Tribolium castaneum: one gene and its partners. The main gene of each other region encodes a partner of the protein of the gene in region 3 in a complex. Links are inferred from orthologs where the notes say so. Each region holds a gene or a part of one and is shown on either strand. Other genes may lie near its edges. The genes, in order: RNA-binding motif protein, X-linked 2; Sf3b5; Bx42; cysteine-rich PDZ-binding protein; mdlc; l(2)37Cb; SmD2.

Region 1 (2,795 bases), on a different chromosome or scaffold from region 3:
CAACGAACCTCCATTTTGAGTCTTAAAGACGATAAACAATTTCGGTGTTTTTACAAAACGCATCATCCCATAGATGTTAAAAAATTGCTAACGAAAAGTTACCACATTTTGGCCAAGACGGGCGAGGCCGTGCACCCACGGCAATATTTGAACATGTTCAAGAAAATTAATTTGGGGGAATACCCCAATTTTTGTGATTACCCCAAAACCATGATCGAGATGTCGGATAAAGAGGCCGAGATGAAGAGAGAGATGGCGGGGTTGAAAACAGACGAGGTTGATTTGTTCAGACGCCGATTGATTAGTTTGGAGCGGTTGCAAAATTTCGAAGTGGAGGAAGAAGAGAATAAGCGAATTTTGGGTAAGTTTTTGTACATTTTTTGGGGTTTTAATTAAATAAATTGTCAGAAATGGAACGCGCGATTCGTAATCAATTGTTGGAGGAGCAAACCCGTGTCCAGGAGTACTACGAAAGGGTGGCCAACCTGCGCGAAAAATTCCACCAAGAAGACAAAATTTTGGCCTCCTTAAGACACCAAATAGCGAAGGAACAGCAATTGAAAAGCCGCCGAAAATACCTATCGTCGATTATGGACGATGTCAGGTTCCGAAAAGGCGAGAAAGGTTACGCCTTGACCAAGACCGAGGACGAACTCCTCTTCCACTATGCCGAACTTTTGAAAAACAAGTACAAAATCGAAAAGTTACTAAACACTGATGAAGTTGTCACAAGTACAAAACTATCAGTTGATCAACAACAGGAACAATTATCGAACGAAATCAATTTTGTGCGGAGTAGTGAAGAGCCCCGCAAACATTTGAAGATGTTAAATCTGACAACGGGGCTTGAAGCCATGGATGCTCTAATCGAAAAAGTCGAAAGTGAGCTGGAAAAACAAAAGAGCGGGAGTGACAGTGATGCCGATCGACGCGTTGTCGCCCTGCAAGCGGAAAGCAAAGAGTTGGCGTTGAAAATTGCCAATTTAATCGAGCTACTTGCCAATTTAAGGAGTGAGGAAGTGGGCGGATAGCACAATCAATTTTATTATAAGTTGTATCGTTTCTATTTATACGTTTTATGATCTCATATGCACCTGTGATATGTTTTTAAACGGCAATAAATTTACAAACCGATGTGAAGTCGCCTTAATAGTTCCAGCCGCGGTGTGAATGCACCTTAACGCAATTAACACAAACGTCAAACGTACGTCAAATACCTAACCTATTTTTTGAACATTTGTTTTATTTGTATTTGTTCATGTTTTTCGGGGTCAGAGGCCCCACAATCACGCACCATGAATCCGTTAACGTAAGTATTGTCGATTTTTTGCCCCAATTTTGCGAAGTTGTCTTTCCAGGAACATGAAAAATGTGAAGAAACTGAGCGAACAGGAGCTCTACACCGGTAATAAAACCTCCTGGCATGACCAATACAGGGACAGTGCGTGGGTTTTCATCGGCGGTTTGCCCTTCGACCTGACCGAGGGCGACATAATTTGCATTTTCTCGCAGTATGGCGAAGTGGTGAACATAAACCTGATCAGGGATAAGGACTCGGGCAAGTCAAAGGGCTTCTGTTTCCTGTGCTACGAGGACCAAAGATCGACCGACTTGGCCGTTGATAATTTCAACGGAATCAAAATCTTGAACAGGACGATACGAGTCGACCACGTCAGTAACTACAAGGTGCCCAAACAGGGCAAGAAAACGGACGCTGAGACGAAGAAACTGTACGATGAGGGCTGTGCCCCCAAGGCCGTCCCTGTGCAAGTTCCTGTCAAAGCGCCAGTGAAGATTAAAACAGACCCTGACGATTTTCGCGAAACACTGGCCGACCAGATTAATTCTGAGATCAAGTTGCCTGAGCGCTTGCCCATTTACACGATAAAAAAGGAGAAAGTGGACGAGGAGGCGCCGCCGGAGCCTGTTGTCACGAAAGAGAAGAAGGAAAAGAAACACAAGAAGGAGAAAAAGAAGAAGAAGAAAAAGAAGTCGGACGAAAACAGCAGCGAATCCGATTCAGATAGGAAGAAGAAAAAGAAGAAGAAGGGCGAGTCAGGGTCGGATTACTCCGCTGAAGACAGCGTGTCAGAGGACGAGGATAGGAGGAAGCGGTCGCGGAGTCCGAATAAGAAAAAGCGCTGATTTACTAACATCTATTTACAGCTCTGTGCTTCATATCTTCATTATCAGTAAGCTCGTCTTCACCTTGCGTCACATTGACATATTTTTTCAAAATGTGGGAGACACTCCCTAGACCATTATTCTCCAAATAATATAGCGAGAAGTGTGAAACTCCCGTGTTAATTATTCGAGCCCCTCCGAGACACTCGCCATCTTTCGACAAGACAGCGAACTGTCCCGGAGTGATGGCCCTCTTGTACCTATTCACTTTAATAATCAGTCCTTTACTTGTTTGGCACACCTGGCATTTGACCCAATATTTGGTGTGTTGGAACTTGAAATCGCACTCCAAAACCCCGTTTTGTAAATCAGGGGGCTGTGAGTGGATCCAGTGGGGCTCACTGGTCAAAATTATGTTCGTGTAAAGTAACGGGTGTTTTGTCCCTTTGACTACGTAAATTATGTTCTTGTCTACGTCTTTCCGGGCCACGAAATAAGGGCTTTCGTAGCTGTGGAGGCGCGCCCTTTGCCCCAAAGTCCACTGGTGCACCCCATTGTGTTGACCCACGACTTTCGCAGTGTCAACGTCCACGAAATCGCCCGGTTTATCATCAATATACTGAAAAAAATGTTTAGTCAAGTGACCAGTGCAAAGCTTCTTTGACCAATGA
Region 2 (2,116 bases), on a different chromosome or scaffold from region 3:
TATTGTCACTATAATTGGTAAATAAAAAATAAATATATTGAAAATCTGTTTTTTTTTTATAAAAATGCAGCGAACTAAAGCTAAGAATATTCTCTTAAAGTCATAAATTATTGTACTAGAAAAAATTATATTCCTAATAAGGGTAATAAATAAATACATTTTTAAATGCCCTTCCACTACCTTTAGAAATTTTCCTCCATGTTTTTATTAAAGAACTTGAAACACTATTTAATTTCCAAAACTTTTTATTCGATTAAGGAATACATATCTTCGGAATGATTTTAGTGATATCTTGCCTATGTAATACAGTAATACCTATTTAAATGTAAGTTAATTTTGCGGCGTGTGTGGAATACTCTATTAGTGCAATTAGTATTGACACAAATAAAGTAGGTATTCTATTCTAATAAAGGCGAAATGAAATACAAAGTAGACCTTTCGGCTACAATTATTTTAGTTATCGGAAGAATTCTAAAATGGTCTTTTAAAAAAAACAACGATTATATGAAAATTTTTATTGACTTTACTATAATCTAATCCTCGGGTTTATCTGGAGGTGGACCACACGGTTGAAGCATTTTCTCCATTAGATTAAACCTAACTCGGGCTTTTGCCTCGTTCTCACAAATCGCAAAATAATTTAACAAATCGTGGTGCCCCAAATAACTGGCGTAACTGTCTCTATGCTGGTTCAGCAGCCATTCGTATTTCGTTATTTCAGAGTGGCCTGTTCCGATATATTTCGATTGGAGATGCTCCAACTGGCTGTGGATGTTGTAGCGGTCGCCCATTACTTTTACAAATTGCAGTAAATTACGAAATAGAGACACACAAAGAAGAAACACACTTTTGTTTTGATGCTCCTAAGTTCACCTAACCTCGAACTCAACTCACTACTCATTAGTGTTAAATGTTAGGGTTGCCACTGTTGTTCGGCAGCAAAAAAGTCCCTAGGTTTTTATTCCTCTCGCTAACATTTATTATACAGGGTGTGTTGTATTTCTGAAATTTTCTTTAGGTGCCACCAAAAATGCTATACTATTTTCACTTGAATAACGCGCAATTGTAAATATGAGCCTTAAAAATCCTTCGTTTTGTAGTGTAACAGGATAGTGGTCAGTCTCTCTATTATTATATTATATTTTTCGTTTATAATACACGTGTATTAACATATATCAGTAGGAGTCGTTTATGGCTATTAAAGTACAGTGTACTTTAATGAATTTAGGGATATTTAGTTTTCAAGAGTTTCATCGATAATGCGTGGAATACACGTACGATCGATTTAATCATCATTTCTTCTTTATTTATTATTTATTACCGTCACCAACTGACACGAAATTCCCTAGACGACAAAAAAATTTAATTAAAATAAGAAAAAATCATAAAAACATTCTCGTTTTATAAGGGTTTTGGCGCACTCATCCCATAGAAAACTTGTTTTTAAATATACTATTATTTATTATTATATTATGTTATGCTAGTTTTTATACTTAGTAATTTTTTACGTATATAGACATTATGTGTTTATTTGGTCAGTTTTTAACTGTTTTGAGAAAAAAGGAGACGAACTGAAAAAATGGGGAAAAATACGTATATTATTAGCTGTCTCAAAACTATAAAAACGCTAACGTCGCATTTTCTCTCAAAATTAGCTATTATAAATTATTCATGCACTTCAAAAAAATAATAACTAATGTAATTTATAGTTTCAATAAGAGATTTAATCAATAATAACTATTTCATATTTTTATCAATCTTATTTAAAAATAAAATCGGTAAAATGCAACGTTGGCGTTTTTATAAATTTGAAACAGCTAACAGACATTTTTTTGTGGAAAAAAATTCTTGAGGCCATATTTCAGCCGCTCACGCTAAATTTGTTTAAACCTAATAAATGGTTAATGATAGAAATATGATATGGCAGACTTTCTCGGAAAAAAGCATTCTATACACTTTTTTCAACCATATTTGCAGCGTTTTAAAAAATATGGTGAAAGTTTGCTTTTTTTAATATTGTTTATGATAATTTTTGTGCTTTTATTTCTTGCCATCGAAAATGTAGGCCCACTTTCATAATCGAATTTAACGGAGCATTAAATTAAATGTTTTTTGG
Region 3 (4,018 bases):
GCACTAGCTGAGGCCATTAACGACTTCAGTGGAGGGGTTATTATAGTGAGCCACGACGAACGACTTATACGGTAAGAGCAAATAAATGTACTCTTTCTTTTCTTTTTTCGCCTCCCTTTATAGAAATTTTATATTTTTCGTCCTAATTTCAGGCTGCGAAGTATGCGTTTACCAGCACTATTAGAAGTGAATTTAATTTTTAATTTGCATTAGCTACTTAATTTGTTCGTTAATTTAAATTAAGATGAAATTCCATCGAGTTTTTGTAACAATTTCGGCTCGACCATAAAACTCAATTTTATTGTTTTGTGTAAAAAAAAATTACTAATTTTGTTACAGTGAAACTGATTGCGCCTTGTACGTAATAGAAGACCAGACCATAAACGAATTAGACGGCGACTTCGACGACTACCGCAAAGAGCTCTTGGAGAGTCTGGGTGAAGTCATCAACAGCCCAAGTATTGCAGCAAACGCTGCCATTGCTCAATAATACAACAAAAAATTTCTACAATTGTATTTATTTAAAAAACCCAAATACAATCAATATTTTAATCTCTTCTCTTTCGCTTATCCCTCTCATCCCTCCTCTCCGGTTCCTTGCGTTTGCTCGCCCGTTTAGCCTGACTCAAGAACTGATCTAACCCGAACGGATCTTCCTCTTTCTCAAATTGTACAGGTCCAGACCTTGGCGCATTCCGATCAGTTCCACTAAACTCCTTATCCGGAACAAATCGGTTCGTTTTGACGATTTTCTCCAAATCTTCACCGTATACCTCCTTATCCACATTCCTACTAGGTCTGTACAAGTGATTGGCCATTGAGCCCCCCTCCCTCCACGGCTTATCATAAACATTATACGCGTCATCGTCCCCATATCCATGCCCCAAACCTTGAGCCTGTCCGAATAATCTCTGATCAAACTGCACCTCGTTTGAGGAGACTCCTCTGGCAGGCATCCCCAAAGCAATCTGCTCGGAAATATCTCGCTCTCGCTCCCTCTTCAACTTTGAACGCTTATCGGGAGCAGCCCTTGCCAAGTTTCTCTCTCTTGCTCGCTCCTTATGCCGGTCCTGTCTCAGCATTTCTCTCTCACGTTCCTCCTCATCTGTGATTTTAGCATCAGCGACTTTGATCCCAGCACGTTCATCTCGAGCTTTTTGAGCCAACTGTCTCAAATGCTCCTCCTTTTGTTCCTTTTCCTTCTGAGCTAGTTTTTTCTCGAGTTGGGCGCGTGTTTCCACAGCCTCTCGTGCTTTTCTATCGGCAATATATAGAGCCTCAGCCAACTTTGCGAAATTCTCGTTGATGTGCAACTGTTGCAACCCCCGACCATCTGCAGCTAAACGCTTATCTAACGGAACTGTGTAACCCTTTGCATTTTTCCAATTTGAAATACAGGGCGGGATTTTCCACTCCTTTTGCTCCTTAACAGTGACACGACGTGTGGGGCTGTGCAAAACGGGCGCTGGGGGCGAAGGGGGCCCCCTTGGGATCTTCTTATTGATCTTGAAACGTGGGGGCTCCATTGGATCAACTTGTGCTTCGACCAAACGAATGACGCGCTGTTTGGCACCCGAGTTGAAGGCGGCCCCTTGTTGTGAAGGGGTGTAACGAATAAATTCAGCGGGGCCTTGTTTTTCGGCACATCTGACTGGCATTGCAGCTGCGATTTTTGAATTTGTTAGGCGTTGTAATGCTTGACGGGTTTTTTCTGTGATATCTTCGATTTCCTCCTGAGATGGTTTAGCAAGACTTGGGTCATTTTCTGTGGTTACTTCAACTGGTAACAAATCGGAGAGTTTTGAATAGACGATTTTGTCTTTGCCGTGGCCTTGACGTGCGATTACGTCGTATTTGACTTTGCCTTCTGCGTCCAATTGGACGGCCAAGGCGTTTGAAGTTGATTCTTTGCCCTTTCGCCCCATGTCAAGAGGGTACTGGGCCACGTGGATTTCGGGAAATGCGCCTCCATCTATAAATTGCAATAAAATCAGTGATAGTGAAAACTTTTCGACGTCCTTGACTGATTATTTGTAATAAAATTTAATAGGACCAATCAAAAAAGTTGGTCCCATCGTAGTTAAATTTAATTACAAAAAATCGGTGGCTAATTACCTCCATAGTCGGTGTGGACTCGTGGGACCCAACCCCTTCTTTGTCCATACGGTGGGGCAATGCTTTGGGCTGTTACAACAGATGTGGAACGTTGAGTTGTGGCATTCTGTTGCCGTCTCTCGTCGTCCCGATCCCATACGGGTTGTATGGGGGCGGGCAATAAACTACAAAATAAATGCGTCTTACTCTACAAGCCCAAAAGTGAGGTTAGGTTACCTGGATAATTCCATTTCTTTTCCTAAATCAGCAAAAACTTGACAATAGCGTAAAATATTCACACTGCACTCATTAATGTAAGTTTTTATTGTTTTACTTCACTAGTAAATCGGAAAATATGTAAAAATCGATTGCACAACAGTGGCTTTCGGGAAAACAATTTCCGCAAAATCTTGATATTATATTATCGCTGTGCGATATTCAAAGCAATTTGTACTTAAAAAACGCAACTAAGTAATGGATTATTGTGTGTAATTCTGTTTTATAAATACACCCAAATTAACGCCACTACTAAAACGTCAAATAGACGGAATGATTTGTAGAGGGCGCGGTTGAGCATAGATTGTTTGTTCCGAAGTTCTATAAGTTCGAAAATACAGACTGATCCAGAAATACTGAGTCTGTTGGCAACACATTTGAAAGTGTTTGTGCTTGTAATTTGTAACATTGCAACCGAATTCGATTTTTCTTGACAACTATTTGACGTACAACCCCACAAGAATGTTAAATTGTTGTTAACTGGAAGCGTATTCCATTAGTATCCTTAAAAATTTAAGTCCAGTGTCGCCAACAGACTCAGTATTTCTGGATCAGTCTGTATTTTTAACGTGAGGGTATCCCCAAAAAAAAAGATGCACAACCACTCACAGACTTTTAGCTACTAGTTACTTCAACAAGCAGACCCTTTACTTACGTAGAATAAACAAAAAACAATAAATTTTTTAATATTTTTCCAAAAATTTAGAAAAACATTCATGTATCGTGCGGTTGCCATTGATAATTGGCAATAATTGGTGGTGTTTGTGAACTTCTAATTTTGAAAATGTACTTCTCCAACATATAAATAAGTGCCTTAGAGCACTAAAGTGAAATTTGAATTTTGGAACTAACACCATAACACACTGTAATTTTTAACCGCTGTAGAACTGTGTCTAGCACTAAATTGAACTAAAAACACTAAAACATATTCAACCGAAGGCTGTTTACTATTGAAATTCGCGCTTTTTTGGTGTTGGTACTTCTGTTACACTGTTACGTTGGTAGTGCTGCAATATCGGCGCGCCTTTTAGCACCTGTCATGTTTTGTAGTTTAGCATTATTTTTGTTTAACGCTGTTTTAGTGTTTAGTTTGTGTATTAGTAAGGATTTATGGTGTTAGTGGGTTTGTTTCTCGTTATTTAAAGACAATCTTATTCAGAGGAGGAACATTTGCAGGAATATTTCCACCCTTCTTTGGTAAGTGCACATTTTAGTTGAGTATTAATTATAGCTTTAATTTAAACATTTTGACGCTTCAAAAGGTGAAATAAAGCATTCTTATGCAGAAATTGTAAGGTGCGGTACTAATTTTAGTAACGTTTTTTGACTAACTATTCAGTACTCAGAGAAAGAAAATTAGTCTTAGCACAGACAGTACACGGTGTCTGTTTGCTCCATAATAACAAAAAAAAGGAACAATCGATGAAATAGTGTTTATTGTAGCAACTTAATATAGATATCACAATAATTTAATTTGATCATGAAAAAATTATTCCAACTTAAAAATATACTCCATTACTTCGGCCATGTACGGGTTTTCCCCCAACTTATCAACTTCATCTTGGGCCTCTTGCTTCAGTTCTGCCAACACTTTCTTCGTGTAATCAAAACTTCCGTATTTCTCAAGCAACGAAACGCAGTATTTCTT
Region 4 (2,602 bases), on a different chromosome or scaffold from region 3:
TTACGTTGAATTTTTTTCCACACCATTCACACTTTGAGTTAGCAACAATTTTTTATGTATCTTTTGCACAAATCAACTTTTAAGCATTTGTTGTCTTAGAATGTTATAAGAAGTAATAAAAAAAAATGTTTGCACCGCACAAAATATATTAAAACATATTTTCTGAACTTACCTTTAAATTTTAATTTTAAATTTTTTTTTAGTTTTTTTTTTTGAAAACACGAATGTTCGGTAACTCAAAATATACTTTTTCAAATTATTGTGTATGTTATATCAAGTAGGTTGAGGAAGTCTAAATATTTAATTTAATTTAATGACCGGAACAACATTATTAATAACAAAAATCTTTTTTTCTATATTAATTACTTTGTTAATTTTAATGAATTCTTTTTCTACCTCAGAAGCTTGAGTACACGTATTTATTGGAAAGAATAATTATAGAACAGATTAAGATTCATAATTAATATAAAAAAGTATATTTTGCTGACAACTGCTAATTTGTAGAAAAGAATTGTAGAAAAATTTTGAAAAGAATTACATAGATAAAAAAAATTAAATATTTATTAGCAAACGCTGGAAACCAGACAGAAATGCCTAAGTTTGTTGTAGATTAAGTTTACAAAAATAATAATAATCTGAGTGATCAATGATTTTAAATCTAAGTTGGCCACAATAACTATCAAATCTAAACGTTAATTTTTGTACTCGATTTTTAAATTTCACCTACAATTTATAGTACCAATAATAAAAATAAGTGTTGCCAACTTAATTTCAAAATGTATTTTGCTCTGTTTTCCAGAACGGACAGATGATGATGATAGTGATGACGATGATAGCGAGATGGAGGATGCTTCTGACGAAGAATTGTCAATGGACGAAGATGAAGATTTCGATGAAGATGACCTTGAAATGAACGATGATGACAAAAGTATATTTTTTGTAATAATAAAACACAAAATTATCCTTTGCTTGCAGTGCTTCTGGGTGACTTAGACGACGATGAAGACGAGGAAGTTGTTTTTGACGATGAAGAACCGAAGTCAGCAAAATCAAAGAAGAAAAAATCCAAAGACACAAACTCAATATTTGCATCAGCTGAAGAATTTGCCTCATTGCTTGACGATGAAGGTAGTTCGAAAATAGCCCCAGGAAGTTCAAATGCGTTATCAAATAAGGATAATGCGAGCACTAAACAACTTGCCTGGGAACAGAGTAGAAATAGGTGGTTGAAGGGATTTGATGAAGTAGTTGGCAAAAAGAAAAATAGTAAAGGTAGCAATTTTGGCAAGAAAAGGAAAGGTCCAAATAAATTTAATAATAAGGCAAAGAAGAGGAAGAATTAATAATCGACAAGGAAGCAGTCGATTGCATTTTAATTAATATAATTCTTTACGAATCCACCAGTTTTGTGTTTTATTTAATTCGTGTTGGTTGTATTTCGCGAATATACAACTACACATAACCCATAACCTAACTTTTCGTGACGTTTAACAGTACGTTCTGTTTATTATCTTCGTGTTTACAATTTCGTACCAAATTCACAATAATTATCGTGTTTTGTGAAAATGGTGTGCGAAAAATGCCAAAAGAAGTTGGGCAAAGTGATAACACCAGATCCTTGGAAAAGTGGGGCTAGAAATACAACTGAGTCAGGGGGTAGGAAAGTTAACGAAAACAAGGCTTTAACAGCTAGCAAAAACAGATTTAATCCATACACGTCCAGTTTTGAGACTTGCAGGTTTGTTAATGCAAGTAATCCTTAAAATTGATTTACTCTTCTCATGTTTTTATTGTAGAATATGTAGGCAAAAGGTGCACCAGGTTGGGTCACATTATTGCCAGTCCTGTGCTTATAAAAAAGGAATTTGTGCGATGTGTGGTAAGAAATTGTTGAGTACGAAGAATTACAAACAATCGTCAACTTGAACTACATTTTGTGTGTTACTTTTAAACAAAATTAAGCCTATTCTAAGTTTTAGAGCAATTTGCATTGTTTTGTAGGTACTGTTAGGTTTTCTGTCTGTATACAGTGAGTGTACGACAATTTAATTATCTTGAATGATAAGGTGTGTAATTATATTTAATAACTTATGACAAAAGTTTTTTATTTCATTTTTATGATAACATTTTTAACTTATTAATTCATTTCTACCTATTCTATCCCTATTTCTTTTTTGTTATTAAGGTTGACTATACATTATTAAAACGCAACTATCAAATATTCTAGAATTATTATTTGGACTTTTTTATAAACTAAAAAACTGTACCTGTAATATTATTTCCACAAAGTTAAAATACGATTTTGTCTTATTGCACTAAAAAAATAATTGAAAAAATTGATGTCTGTCGTATTATTAAATACTTCTAAAAGTGGCTACACTGTATATAACCTTTTAGAAATGAATTTCAGCGATTGGATTTTAAAAATTCACTTCCCTGTATATAAAAAAAACGTGACGAAGTCGTAACAAAATTCAATGAATCAGACAAACCTCTTTGTTTTCCACCTTGCAGTAATTACTTATCTCAGTGATTATATTTTTTGTTGGTGACGTTTTATCCATACACTTACACAATACTGCCGTTTAATTTTATTCAGTTT
Region 5 (3,239 bases), on a different chromosome or scaffold from region 3:
AATATCATCGTTTCACCGTACGGTTTTTATTTAACTGTTGTGTCACATAAAAATCTTATTAACATAATGCATTACCACACAATACTGTGATAACTCGGTGATTAGAAAAACAATTAACGGTGATTAGGAACCAATTGGATTCCTTACCAGTAAGGGCCTTAACTTCATCCATGAAAGTCACTACGAAAATCACAAAAACAGCACAAACATTTTTTAGTGATACCATCTTGGTATTCTCGCAACTTTTGCACAAATGAGAGATGAACTTTATATTTCTTGTACAATATATATTACAGTTATAATGGCAAGGTAGCAGCTTTCTCTTTCGCGCGCGCGTTTTTGGTACTTTTGAGACAGAGAAAGATACAATGAATGTGTCCAGTTGGGGGTTACCCGCTTGACTGTTACTATACCTTTCACTCAGAAGCCGCACCTCACTAAGAAGTAGCGTCTTCTCTGTCTCACTCGCCTCTTCACGTGTGGGATTGGAATAAAACCAGTTCAATTTTTTATTTGTTTATTTATTACACAATTTACAAAAACATTAATCGGAATCCGAATCTGAGTCATTCTTTTTCTTAGGATTATCCTCTCGATTCAGCCGCGCTATGAGTTTCCGCGCGGGGTTGAAAACGCCACTCGTTTGCGTGTTGCAGACGAAGCACCTCGTCGTCTTCTTGTACCTCTCGAGGGCGCACTTCTCGCAAAAGTAGTGTTTGCACCTAAAATTAACTGTAATAAAGACTCGTAAAAGGTGCCTCCTACTTTGTGACAATCGGGTCCACGAAGCTGTCCCTGCAAACGACGCATTTGAACGGCAAATCCTCTTCGTCCGAGTCAATCTCGTATTGTTTATCCTCGTCGCTTTCTTGCCCATATTTGCCTTCCGCCCATTCCCGCTCAAGCTGCCAGCCGTGTTTGTAGTCACTCCTGTCGTGCAAAAATTTACAACTGTCCCCGAAACCGCAAAAGCCTGTTTCTTTGTAGTCCTTGCAAATGTCGGGTTGGTAGTCCCACCGGACGGTGGCACGCAGGTTTGCGGGGGCTCTGATGGGGCCCTTCCTGACCATTCCCGAACTGGCGTTGCCCGCAGCCGTGTCTTTGGGCTTGTAGTACTGTGCGTAGTTGTTGATGCCTCTGTAGACTTTATCGTCTTCCTTGCCCTCAAGATTTTTATTAATTTCTAGCCGCTTCTCGAAAATGGCTTGGGCGTCACGATCGCGCTCAGTTTCAAACTCCTTTAATTAAATAATTATTGATTGGATAATACTAGTGAGTGGTTAAGTGGCTTACAAGAGTCGCCGTCGCTCCCTGATCTTGAGGTCCCTCAGGCATAGCGGACCGTTTGGACTTGTAACTAACCATAATTTCCTCCTCACTGCTTGAGTAGTTCTGCTGCTCATGTTCTTTTTGTTTGGCTTTGCTTGTGGTTTGGAAGTTGGGGTTTGCTTTTCCCCGACGCCGGTTCGCCCGCTTCACCGCAGATTCGTCCTCACTGTTGGACTTTTCTGAAGAAATCGCAAACAAACATAACCTTTAAAACACGAAAACTAAGTCTACAACAACAGTGAAGGTTAATTCACGGATTTGGGGTACCCACCTCCTTCCGAACTGGATTTCTGGCGCTTCCGCGCCCCTTTATTTTTTATATTCCGTTTTTTAAATATAAAAGTGCAACTTTCATCAAGTCCTGTTTTAACGTCACGCGGATCATCCATCTTTGACAAGTGTCAAGTGTCAGTGCTGACGCCAAACAAAATATCAAAAATTTCAAAACTCAATAACGCCTTTGTGGTGTTAGACTTGAGCCAAAGCAATTTAATCTAATTTGAATTTGTAATTACACGTTTTCCTAGTGCGTCATAATGGTAATAGCAAGTGCTTGAATGTTAATTGCTTTCGCGGTTCTGTTGGTAGTTATGGGTGACGGTTCCTGATTGGCTAAATTTGAAAGTGCGTTGACGTTTGGCATCCATCTGCATCGTAACGAATTTTCTACAAATCAATTAAAGTAGAATTAGGATAATTTATTAGTGAACGTGGTAAAAATGGCCCAAAATTTCAATCCGTTCGTGGAGCAAGTGCCCGAGAACGTAAAGCAGGCCGAAAGTTCCAAGAAGGTATCGAACGATAATCACGCAGTGACAAAAAGGTGGGCAAAAAGTGAGTCTAAATTGGGGTGCTAATCTTTGTTCGATTTGCAGATTGCACAAAGAGCTTATGACTTTGATGATGTCCGAAGACAAGAGCATCTCGGCGTTTCCCGAGGGCGACAACCTGTTCAAGTGGGTAGGTACCATAATGGGGCCCAAAGACACGGTTTATGAGAGTTTAAAATATAAACTAAGTTTACAATTCCCGAACTCGTACCCCTACGCGGCCCCCGTAGTAAAATTCATCACGCCTTGCTTTCACCCCAACGTCGACACCAGTGGGAACATCTGCTTAGATATTTTAAAAGAGAAGTGGTCGGCGCTTTATGACGTTAGAACAATTTTGTTATCAATTCAGGCCTTGTTAGGGGAACCAAACACGAGGAGTCCGCTGAACACGACGGCCGCCGACAAGTGGAAGAAAAAAGAAGAGTACAAAAAGCTGGTGTTAGAGTCGTACAAGGAAGTCTAAATTTGATCTCGCATTAGAAAAATTTCAGTTATTTAAGATGTCATTGTGTAATAATAGACTGCGTACATATTTGTGTTATATAATTTTTACTATTTCTCGTGTGTTATGATTGAATAAAACGATCAAGTTTCAATAATTTATTTACATAAATAAATATTTGGCTTAGCGAATAAAAATACGTTATCACGACTAGGATTTCACGATAATCAAGGTAAAAAATAAAATAATTGTGGTTACAGCCAATACAAGGATCGCGCACATCTTGCGGTTTTTCCGCTGATAAGCGTCTGCCTTTTGCAGCTGTTTGAAGCCTTCGTAGACCTGGATCTGCGTCTGTTCCACGTTGTAGTCAATTCTGTCCAGAACTGTCCCCTGGTCGGCGACCATCTGACTGAGATCTTTGAAAATTTCGTTCAAGTCAACAATGGACTTAACAATTGCGTTCACTTCTTGCTCCCGCTCTTGCGCGAACCGCGTGTTTTCCTCCTCCAGCAACAGCAGTTGTTGCTGGCTCATCTGCTTGGAATTAACGAAGTAGGTATCAATGTCATCCGCCTCCCTGTTGTACAAATCCTCGTCTTCGAGTTGGTTATCAAAGTAGATTTTTGCGCGGT
Region 6 (3,270 bases), on a different chromosome or scaffold from region 3:
CAGCCGTACAAGTGCGAGCTCTGCGAAAAGGCCTATGTGCAGAGCAGCGCCCTGAGGACGCACATGAAAGGCCATGAAAAACAGTGAAGGTTTGGAGATTTTATAAATTTATTTATGAATAAATACTAGTCACAAGGGCTATATATTTTTATGCCCTTTTTTAATTGGTAAAACCAAAAAATAATTAGACGAGAAAAGCTATTTTATTATCGCCTTTCAGTATTTTCATCTCATTATGATTAGTTTATTATTTTCATTGTCTTTTTTTATAAAAACAAATTATTTCGATTTCGTAATTTTATTTACAAAAGTAAAGTATTTACACTTATATTTGTATATTGTATTATCACTAATACATTTTTATTTTTCTATAGTGTCTTTTGCATTTACAAGCAATTTATTTACTGTTCTATTGTTTGCATGAGAAGAAATAAGAATTTTTTCCAACAATACCAAACTGCTTTACTTCTTCAATTTTTTACATTATTATAATAAAAAGCTTTCGGTTCTAAAAAATCTTTATTCAGTTCTGGTGCTACGCCCGACAGTCTTTGGCATTTTTTTGTTGGTAGAATCCTCCAGTTCCTTCTGCTTGTAATAATGAGGTGCAACCTCCAAAAGCCACTTACTCTCGATTTCTATAACTTGTCTCATAAACTCTTTGGTGGTAAAAACCAGCTCGTGATAAAGAACCCATCTTGGCAAGTCCTCAAAAAGGGCACTATTGGGATGTATTGTGACACTCTGAAACAATTTCTCTCAGTACAAAGAAAACTATAATTTTTTTGGTGTTAAAACCTGATTATGTTTAACGGTTTTGTAAGTCCCTCCTTTGGATAACCGAGCAATGTGGTAGAAATAACCGGCGGTTATAGCCTTTTTAATGTCTGCAGCCTCGGTTATATTTGACACCATGTCGATTTCAACCCTTTGCATTAAACCGACCAACTGTTCCCTCACATCGCGAGCCCTTTTCATAGATCTACAACAAAATAAAGCACAATTATTTACGTATCTTCAACAACTAGATAACTTGAAATTTATATTTTTCTAATTTATATTTCTAATTTTTTTAAAGTACTGAAGATGAACCGGTTAGTTTGAAACATTTTCATTCTTTTTTCTTTATTTTATTTTTCTTTTATGGCAGATTTCAGAAAAAATAAGAGAAATCACCTGTATTGTATAAAATTCTCGTAGCACCATTGGGTGGAATAATCGGAATCCCTCCACTGGTTGTACACATTTAACAAGCTCAGATGGTCACCCCCTATGTGATTAAAATTTTTGCGTGCCGTGTCAGCATGAATAATTTTATCCTTGGGCCTGTAAAAAATCGCCCCATTGACCGAAAGCATGGCCGCAATAGTCACAATCTCCTCTGAACATTTGTATCTGCAAAAAGCAAACAGTAACAAACCCACACAAAAAGCCAAACTTACTTTTCCGAAGCTAACAACATTTTGGCCATCATCGGATCAACCGGAAACTCCGCCATCCTGCGCCCCAACTTCGTCAACTCCCCGTGATGGTTCAACGCCCCTAAAGCATACAACTGTTCCAGTGCCAGAACAAGTGTCTCATGTGGTGGCGGATCAAGAAAATCGAAATGCACCAAATCGTTAATCCCCAACGCTTTCAGCATCAGTACAGCGTTGCCTAAATTAATCCTTTGTATTTCCGGCACGGTATTGTCCTCCAGTTCATGCTTGTAGGACCAGGCGGTGTACAAACGAAAACACTTCCCGGCCGCCACTCTGCCAGCCCTCCCAGCCCTCTGATTAGCCGAGGCTTTCGAAATTGGCACCACAATCAGGCTCTCCATCCCAGTCCGCGAATTGAAGTGGTTTTGTTTGGCAAAACCGGGATCAATAACATAGATTATATTGTCTATCGTTAAAGAAGTCTCCGCTATATTTGTCGCAAGCACAACTTTCCGGGCCCCTGGAGGCGTCGGTTCAAAAATTTTCGCTTGCATGTCGCTTGGCAGGTTCGCATAAACGGGCAGAATAATCAGTTCCTTGACTTTGGAGCCCAACCGGCGAACCCGATCCTGCAACAACTCCTGACACGTCTCAATCTCATCCTGACCGGTCAAAAAAACAAGAATATCCCCTAACGGTTGAGTCGCGTGAATTTGTAGAACGGAAACAACGCACGCGTCCACATAATCGGCCTCTGGCGCCTTAGTGTAGTAAATATCCACCGGAAACCTCCGGCCTGGAATGCGGAAAATGGGCGCATCGTCGAAAAACTCGGAGAATTTTTGCGCGTCGAGCGTTGCGCTCGAAATCAGCAGTTTCAAGTCGGGGCGAAACCGGGCGATGTCTTTGACCAGACCGAACAAAATGTCCGTGTGTAGCGTCCGCTCGTGGGCCTCGTCGATGATCATGACGCTGTAGGACTGCAGGTCGGGCTCGGATAAAAATTCGCGGTGGAGCGTGCCGTCGGTCATGTATTTGATGATTGTACGTTCGGATGTGCAATCTTCGAATCTGATCGCATAACCGACTTCGTTGCCGAGTTTGACTTCCATTTCTTGGGCTACGCGGGCCGCTACCGACATGGCGGCGACACGGCGTGGCTGCGTACAGCCGATTTTTTTATTGTCGTTGGTGAAGCCGGCTTCGTGCAAGTACTGCGGGATTTGGGTTGTTTTTCCAGAGCCGGTTTCACCCTCGATTATTAGGACCTGGTGCTCGCGGACGGCCTGGATCAAGTCGTCGCGAAACGGGTAGACTGGGAGGTTTTTCTTCGTTTCTTGGATGTCGAGCTTCTTTTTTTCCTTTTCGGTTAGTTCGGGCTCTTTCTTCTCTCGTGTGCCTGTTTATTGATTATTTTGGTACAATTTTGCCAATTTAATACCTCACAGACTAGTTCTTATCTCATCGTTTTAAAATCCTAATACCCCTAAAAAATGTACCGGGTGCTCAAAAACCGGCGCACCAATTCAATGATGTGCGGTAGAGAAATGCTTAAATATAAAGGTAAAAATAGTAAAAAATTCTTTGTATTACAGTTATTGATAAATACCGAATTTTAAATAAATGATATGTGGCAACGTTGTCTAATAGTCGTGATCGCAATAGAATTTGTTCAACAATAAAAATTAATTATTTTTGAAACGGTTTCCTAGGAAATAATGCCCAATGTTGACACATCTACAAATTGTGATTTTTTGATTTATTTAATTTTTTTTAAATTCAGAAAACTGCTAAAGTCTGATAGTAAATTTAAAAATAATTAATCATTATTTTATTAAGAAACGAT
Region 7 (2,224 bases), on a different chromosome or scaffold from region 3:
GAAGACTTTTAGTAAATTTGGCCTCCAACAAATTCAAGTGGACACGCATTACTTGCAGTTGTATTTGTGGCGATTTGTTGCGGATGAAAAGTACGTCACGAATTTGAATTTAGTGAAATTAATTGAATTTTCCAGCTTGGTTCATTTCCTCCTGGATGAGATTTTGGGATCAGCAGTCCACAGGTGCCTGGAACCGATTTTAATGGAACCAAGCGTTGTGGACATCATATGTGAAAGGGGTTAGGTCATGCAGCTTGCATAAGTTACAAATATTTATTATTCTTTTGTATTATCTTGTTTAAATAAAAAGGAGAAATTTTATCACATTTTGTTGTATTATTTTTATAGATAAATGTTAAAAAACCGTTCAATCTTTCATTTGCAACGACATGAATGTGATATTTCCACAGTATCACGTTCGCGGTATCAATCAACCGCAGAACAGAAGGACCACACGAGTGAAGTGATAGGTAAGTGAATTTCCTCAATAAACACTAAACTGAAGATACAAATTTTATTCCTAATTAACCACTAGCCGTAGCTAGGGGGTTCCTTACAACTATAATAACCGCATCGCCTCGCAGAAACATTTTCGAAATGAACCGATCCTTATTTACCGGCTTGGCTTTCTTCTTCCCCTTTCCAGGCCGGGGCAGCTCTGTCCACATTTCCTTCACATTCTCCAACACTATGTTGCAGTGCCGATCGAACGCCTTCACCCGCCCCAGCAATTTCTTGTTGTTTCGGCAGTTTATCAGCACCTGAGTGTTGTTCTTCACCGACTGAGTGAGCACCGAAAGGGGGCCCGTGTTGAACTCTTCCTCCTCGCGAGCCTGAAGCTCCTCGGCCGTCATTTCAGACTTGGGTTTCGTTAAAGCCATTCTGACTCGGTTTTTGCACTTAAAACAACACTTTTTCCGGCACAAAAATAGTTAGGTTAGGAATTTGAGCGTTTTGGATGCGTTTGGGGAATTTTGCAATGCGCATGCGCAAACTGGGTTTAATACTATGGCGGCAGATTCAAACATTTAAAGTGAAGAAAACAAACTTCGAATTAAATCAACAATTATTCTTCTCACATTTAAAGTTACATTAAGATTACTCTTTTGAATAATTAATTAAGAGTTTTAACATACTCAAAAACCACGATCTAAAAACTAATTACAAAATCGAGCAAATAAACCAATTTATAATCCATTGAGATGAAGACGTTAAATATAAGAGCAACAAGCTATTAATGAATCAGATAGGGGAATGCACCGTTTATTATAATTTAACTAGAAAATGTAATAAATATTGCAAATACGAGTATTGCAGTGCATTTTTCCAACGAAGGGAGTTTAATTCCCAGCAATTTGTTAGCCCCAGAATCGAAAATTAAATAATTACGATAAACAATAATCACTCTTTATTTATAGTAAGTATAACAATAAGAGATAACCAGTGCAAGTAATTATTCCAGCAGCGTGTTTATTTAAGTATACAAGCAATGCCAACGCAAATAATAATAGAATAATCATTAAAATGCAGTGAGGAGCCGATAAACCACCCCGTCCCGCTATATAAATTAAATACTTGAAGAAACGCACCAGAAGAAAGCCTCTTGTCCACCCGGTATTAAGTAGTTGCGCCGAAGGTGATGTTTTTGAAATCTCCTCGGTCTGGCTGCTTTATACCGCATGGATGAAAATCACCAAAAAAAGTCTGTTTTCTTGTCACACGTTGTCAGATTTAATAATTCTTAATTCGACTTCCTCATTTGCGGCGTTTCCTGTCGCCGCCCGTCTAAGGTCCCGCATTTGAGGCTTCGTTTTTCATGAGTTCGGTCTTCGTGTGCCTACCTTAATTCAATTAATCAATTGACCAGATGAATGGAATAAAGTTCATATGTTTGACATCGACGATGAACATATTTAAATCTCGTTAGGGGCCACTTCGGACTAAATAGGATAATAGCCGATGCTTACGGCTGCTTGCTGAATGCCTCTTGTGTCGAGATACACGCGCTGTATTCAATGATATTGTTTGTGTTGGGCAATTTTCTATTTTTGACGCAAGTGTTTATAAGAGTGGACTTTTGCTCAGGTAATTTTTGGGGAAATGTAGAGTAGTTCTATGTAGAGGAGTTTGATTTGGAAATGATTTTCCGGGCGTTTATACGCGAAAATTTTCCAAGCACTTGCTATTAGTGTTAATTTTGTAATGTTTTAGAGAGTAAAGGGGT

The links.
Region 1: Bx42 (region 3) and RNA-binding motif protein, X-linked 2 share a complex: the UniProt entries of both Homo sapiens proteins name them as parts of the minor spliceosome. The link is inferred for Tribolium castaneum from reciprocal best matches to the Homo sapiens genes SNW1 and RBMX2.
Region 2: Bx42 (region 3) and Sf3b5 share a complex: the UniProt entries of both Homo sapiens proteins name them as parts of the minor spliceosome. The link is inferred for Tribolium castaneum from reciprocal best matches to the Homo sapiens genes SNW1 and SF3B5.
Region 4: Bx42 (region 3) and cysteine-rich PDZ-binding protein share a complex: the UniProt entries of both Homo sapiens proteins name them as parts of the minor spliceosome. The link is inferred for Tribolium castaneum from reciprocal best matches to the Homo sapiens genes SNW1 and CRIPT.
Region 5: Bx42 (region 3) and mdlc share a complex: the UniProt entries of both Homo sapiens proteins name them as parts of the minor spliceosome. The link is inferred for Tribolium castaneum from reciprocal best matches to the Homo sapiens genes SNW1 and RNF113A.
Region 6: Bx42 (region 3) and l(2)37Cb share a complex: the UniProt entries of both Homo sapiens proteins name them as parts of the minor spliceosome. The link is inferred for Tribolium castaneum from reciprocal best matches to the Homo sapiens genes SNW1 and DHX16.
Region 7: Bx42 (region 3) and SmD2 share a complex: the UniProt entries of both Homo sapiens proteins name them as parts of the minor spliceosome. The link is inferred for Tribolium castaneum from reciprocal best matches to the Homo sapiens genes SNW1 and SNRPD2.

The regions. Positions count from the first base shown.
Region 1 is NC_087396.1:22,565,046-22,567,840, reverse strand, and holds RNA-binding motif protein, X-linked 2, read left to right. Parts: upstream 1-1,156; 5' UTR 1,157-1,295; coding exon 1,296-1,309; intron 1,310-1,358; coding exon 1,359-2,145; 3' UTR 2,146-2,149; downstream 2,150-2,795. Other genes in the region: TBC1 domain family member 31, read left to right, coding at 1-361, 409-1,031; mitochondrial tRNA-specific 2-thiouridylase 1, read right to left, coding at 2,150-2,743. UniProt on the Homo sapiens protein: Involved in pre-mRNA splicing as component of the activated spliceosome. As a component of the minor spliceosome, involved in the splicing of U12-type introns in pre-mRNAs.
Region 2 is NC_087396.1:17,670,081-17,672,196, reverse strand, and holds Sf3b5 (splicing factor 3B subunit 5), read right to left. Parts: upstream 972-2,116; 5' UTR 848-971; intron 794-847; 5' UTR 792-793; coding exon 534-791; 3' UTR 501-533; downstream 1-500. UniProt on the Homo sapiens protein: Component of the 17S U2 SnRNP complex of the spliceosome, a large ribonucleoprotein complex that removes introns from transcribed pre-mRNAs.
Region 3 is NC_087397.1:9,848,808-9,852,825, forward strand, and holds Bx42 (puff-specific protein Bx42), read right to left. Parts: upstream 2,654-4,018; 5' UTR 2,346-2,653; coding exon 2,332-2,345; intron 2,280-2,331; coding exon 2,116-2,279; intron 1,973-2,115; coding exon 549-1,972; 3' UTR 501-548; downstream 1-500. Other genes in the region: ATP-binding cassette sub-family F member 1, read left to right, coding at 1-71, 340-490; qm (terpene synthase), read right to left, coding at 3,860-4,018. UniProt on the Homo sapiens protein: Involved in pre-mRNA splicing as component of the spliceosome. As a component of the minor spliceosome, involved in the splicing of U12-type introns in pre-mRNAs.
Region 4 is NC_087394.1:8,405,448-8,408,049, forward strand, and holds cysteine-rich PDZ-binding protein, read left to right. Parts: upstream 1-1,448; 5' UTR 1,449-1,565; coding exon 1,566-1,738; intron 1,739-1,796; coding exon 1,797-1,926; 3' UTR 1,927-2,102; downstream 2,103-2,602. Other genes in the region: Noc1 (CCAAT/enhancer-binding protein zeta), read left to right, coding at 800-928, 976-1,343. UniProt on the Homo sapiens protein: As a component of the minor spliceosome, involved in the splicing of U12-type introns in pre-mRNAs. Involved in the cytoskeletal anchoring of DLG4 in excitatory synapses.
Region 5 is NC_087396.1:11,857,593-11,860,831, reverse strand, and holds mdlc (E3 ubiquitin-protein ligase RNF113A), read right to left. Parts: upstream 1,741-3,239; 5' UTR 1,719-1,740; coding exon 1,601-1,718; intron 1,509-1,600; coding exon 1,294-1,508; intron 1,239-1,293; coding exon 766-1,238; intron 723-765; coding exon 545-722; 3' UTR 501-544; downstream 1-500. Other genes in the region: probable chitinase 2, read right to left, coding at 148-226; vih (ubiquitin-conjugating enzyme E2 C), read left to right, coding at 2,049-2,152, 2,205-2,625; Syx16 (syntaxin-16), read right to left, coding at 2,815-3,239. UniProt on the Homo sapiens protein: Required for pre-mRNA splicing as component of the spliceosome. As a component of the minor spliceosome, involved in the splicing of U12-type introns in pre-mRNAs. E3 ubiquitin-protein ligase that catalyzes the transfer of ubiquitin onto target proteins.
Region 6 is NC_087398.1:7,194,517-7,197,786, reverse strand, and holds the end of l(2)37Cb (pre-mRNA-splicing factor ATP-dependent RNA helicase DHX16), read right to left. Parts: intron 2,824-3,270; coding exon 1,443-2,823; intron 1,396-1,442; coding exon 1,177-1,395; intron 983-1,176; coding exon 799-982; intron 745-798; coding exon 520-744; 3' UTR 501-519; downstream 1-500. Other genes in the region: zinc finger protein OZF, read left to right, coding at 1-87. UniProt on the Homo sapiens protein: Required for pre-mRNA splicing as a component of the spliceosome. Contributes to pre-mRNA splicing after spliceosome formation and prior to the first transesterification reaction.
Region 7 is NC_087395.1:17,190,837-17,193,060, forward strand, and holds SmD2 (probable small nuclear ribonucleoprotein Sm D2), read right to left. Parts: upstream 982-2,224; 5' UTR 882-981; coding exon 525-881; 3' UTR 501-524; downstream 1-500. Other genes in the region: Vps51 (vacuolar protein sorting-associated protein 51 homolog), read left to right, coding at 1-90, 136-244; serine-rich adhesin for platelets, read right to left, coding at 1,742-1,837. UniProt on the Homo sapiens protein: Plays a role in pre-mRNA splicing as a core component of the spliceosomal U1, U2, U4 and U5 small nuclear ribonucleoproteins (snRNPs), the building blocks of the spliceosome.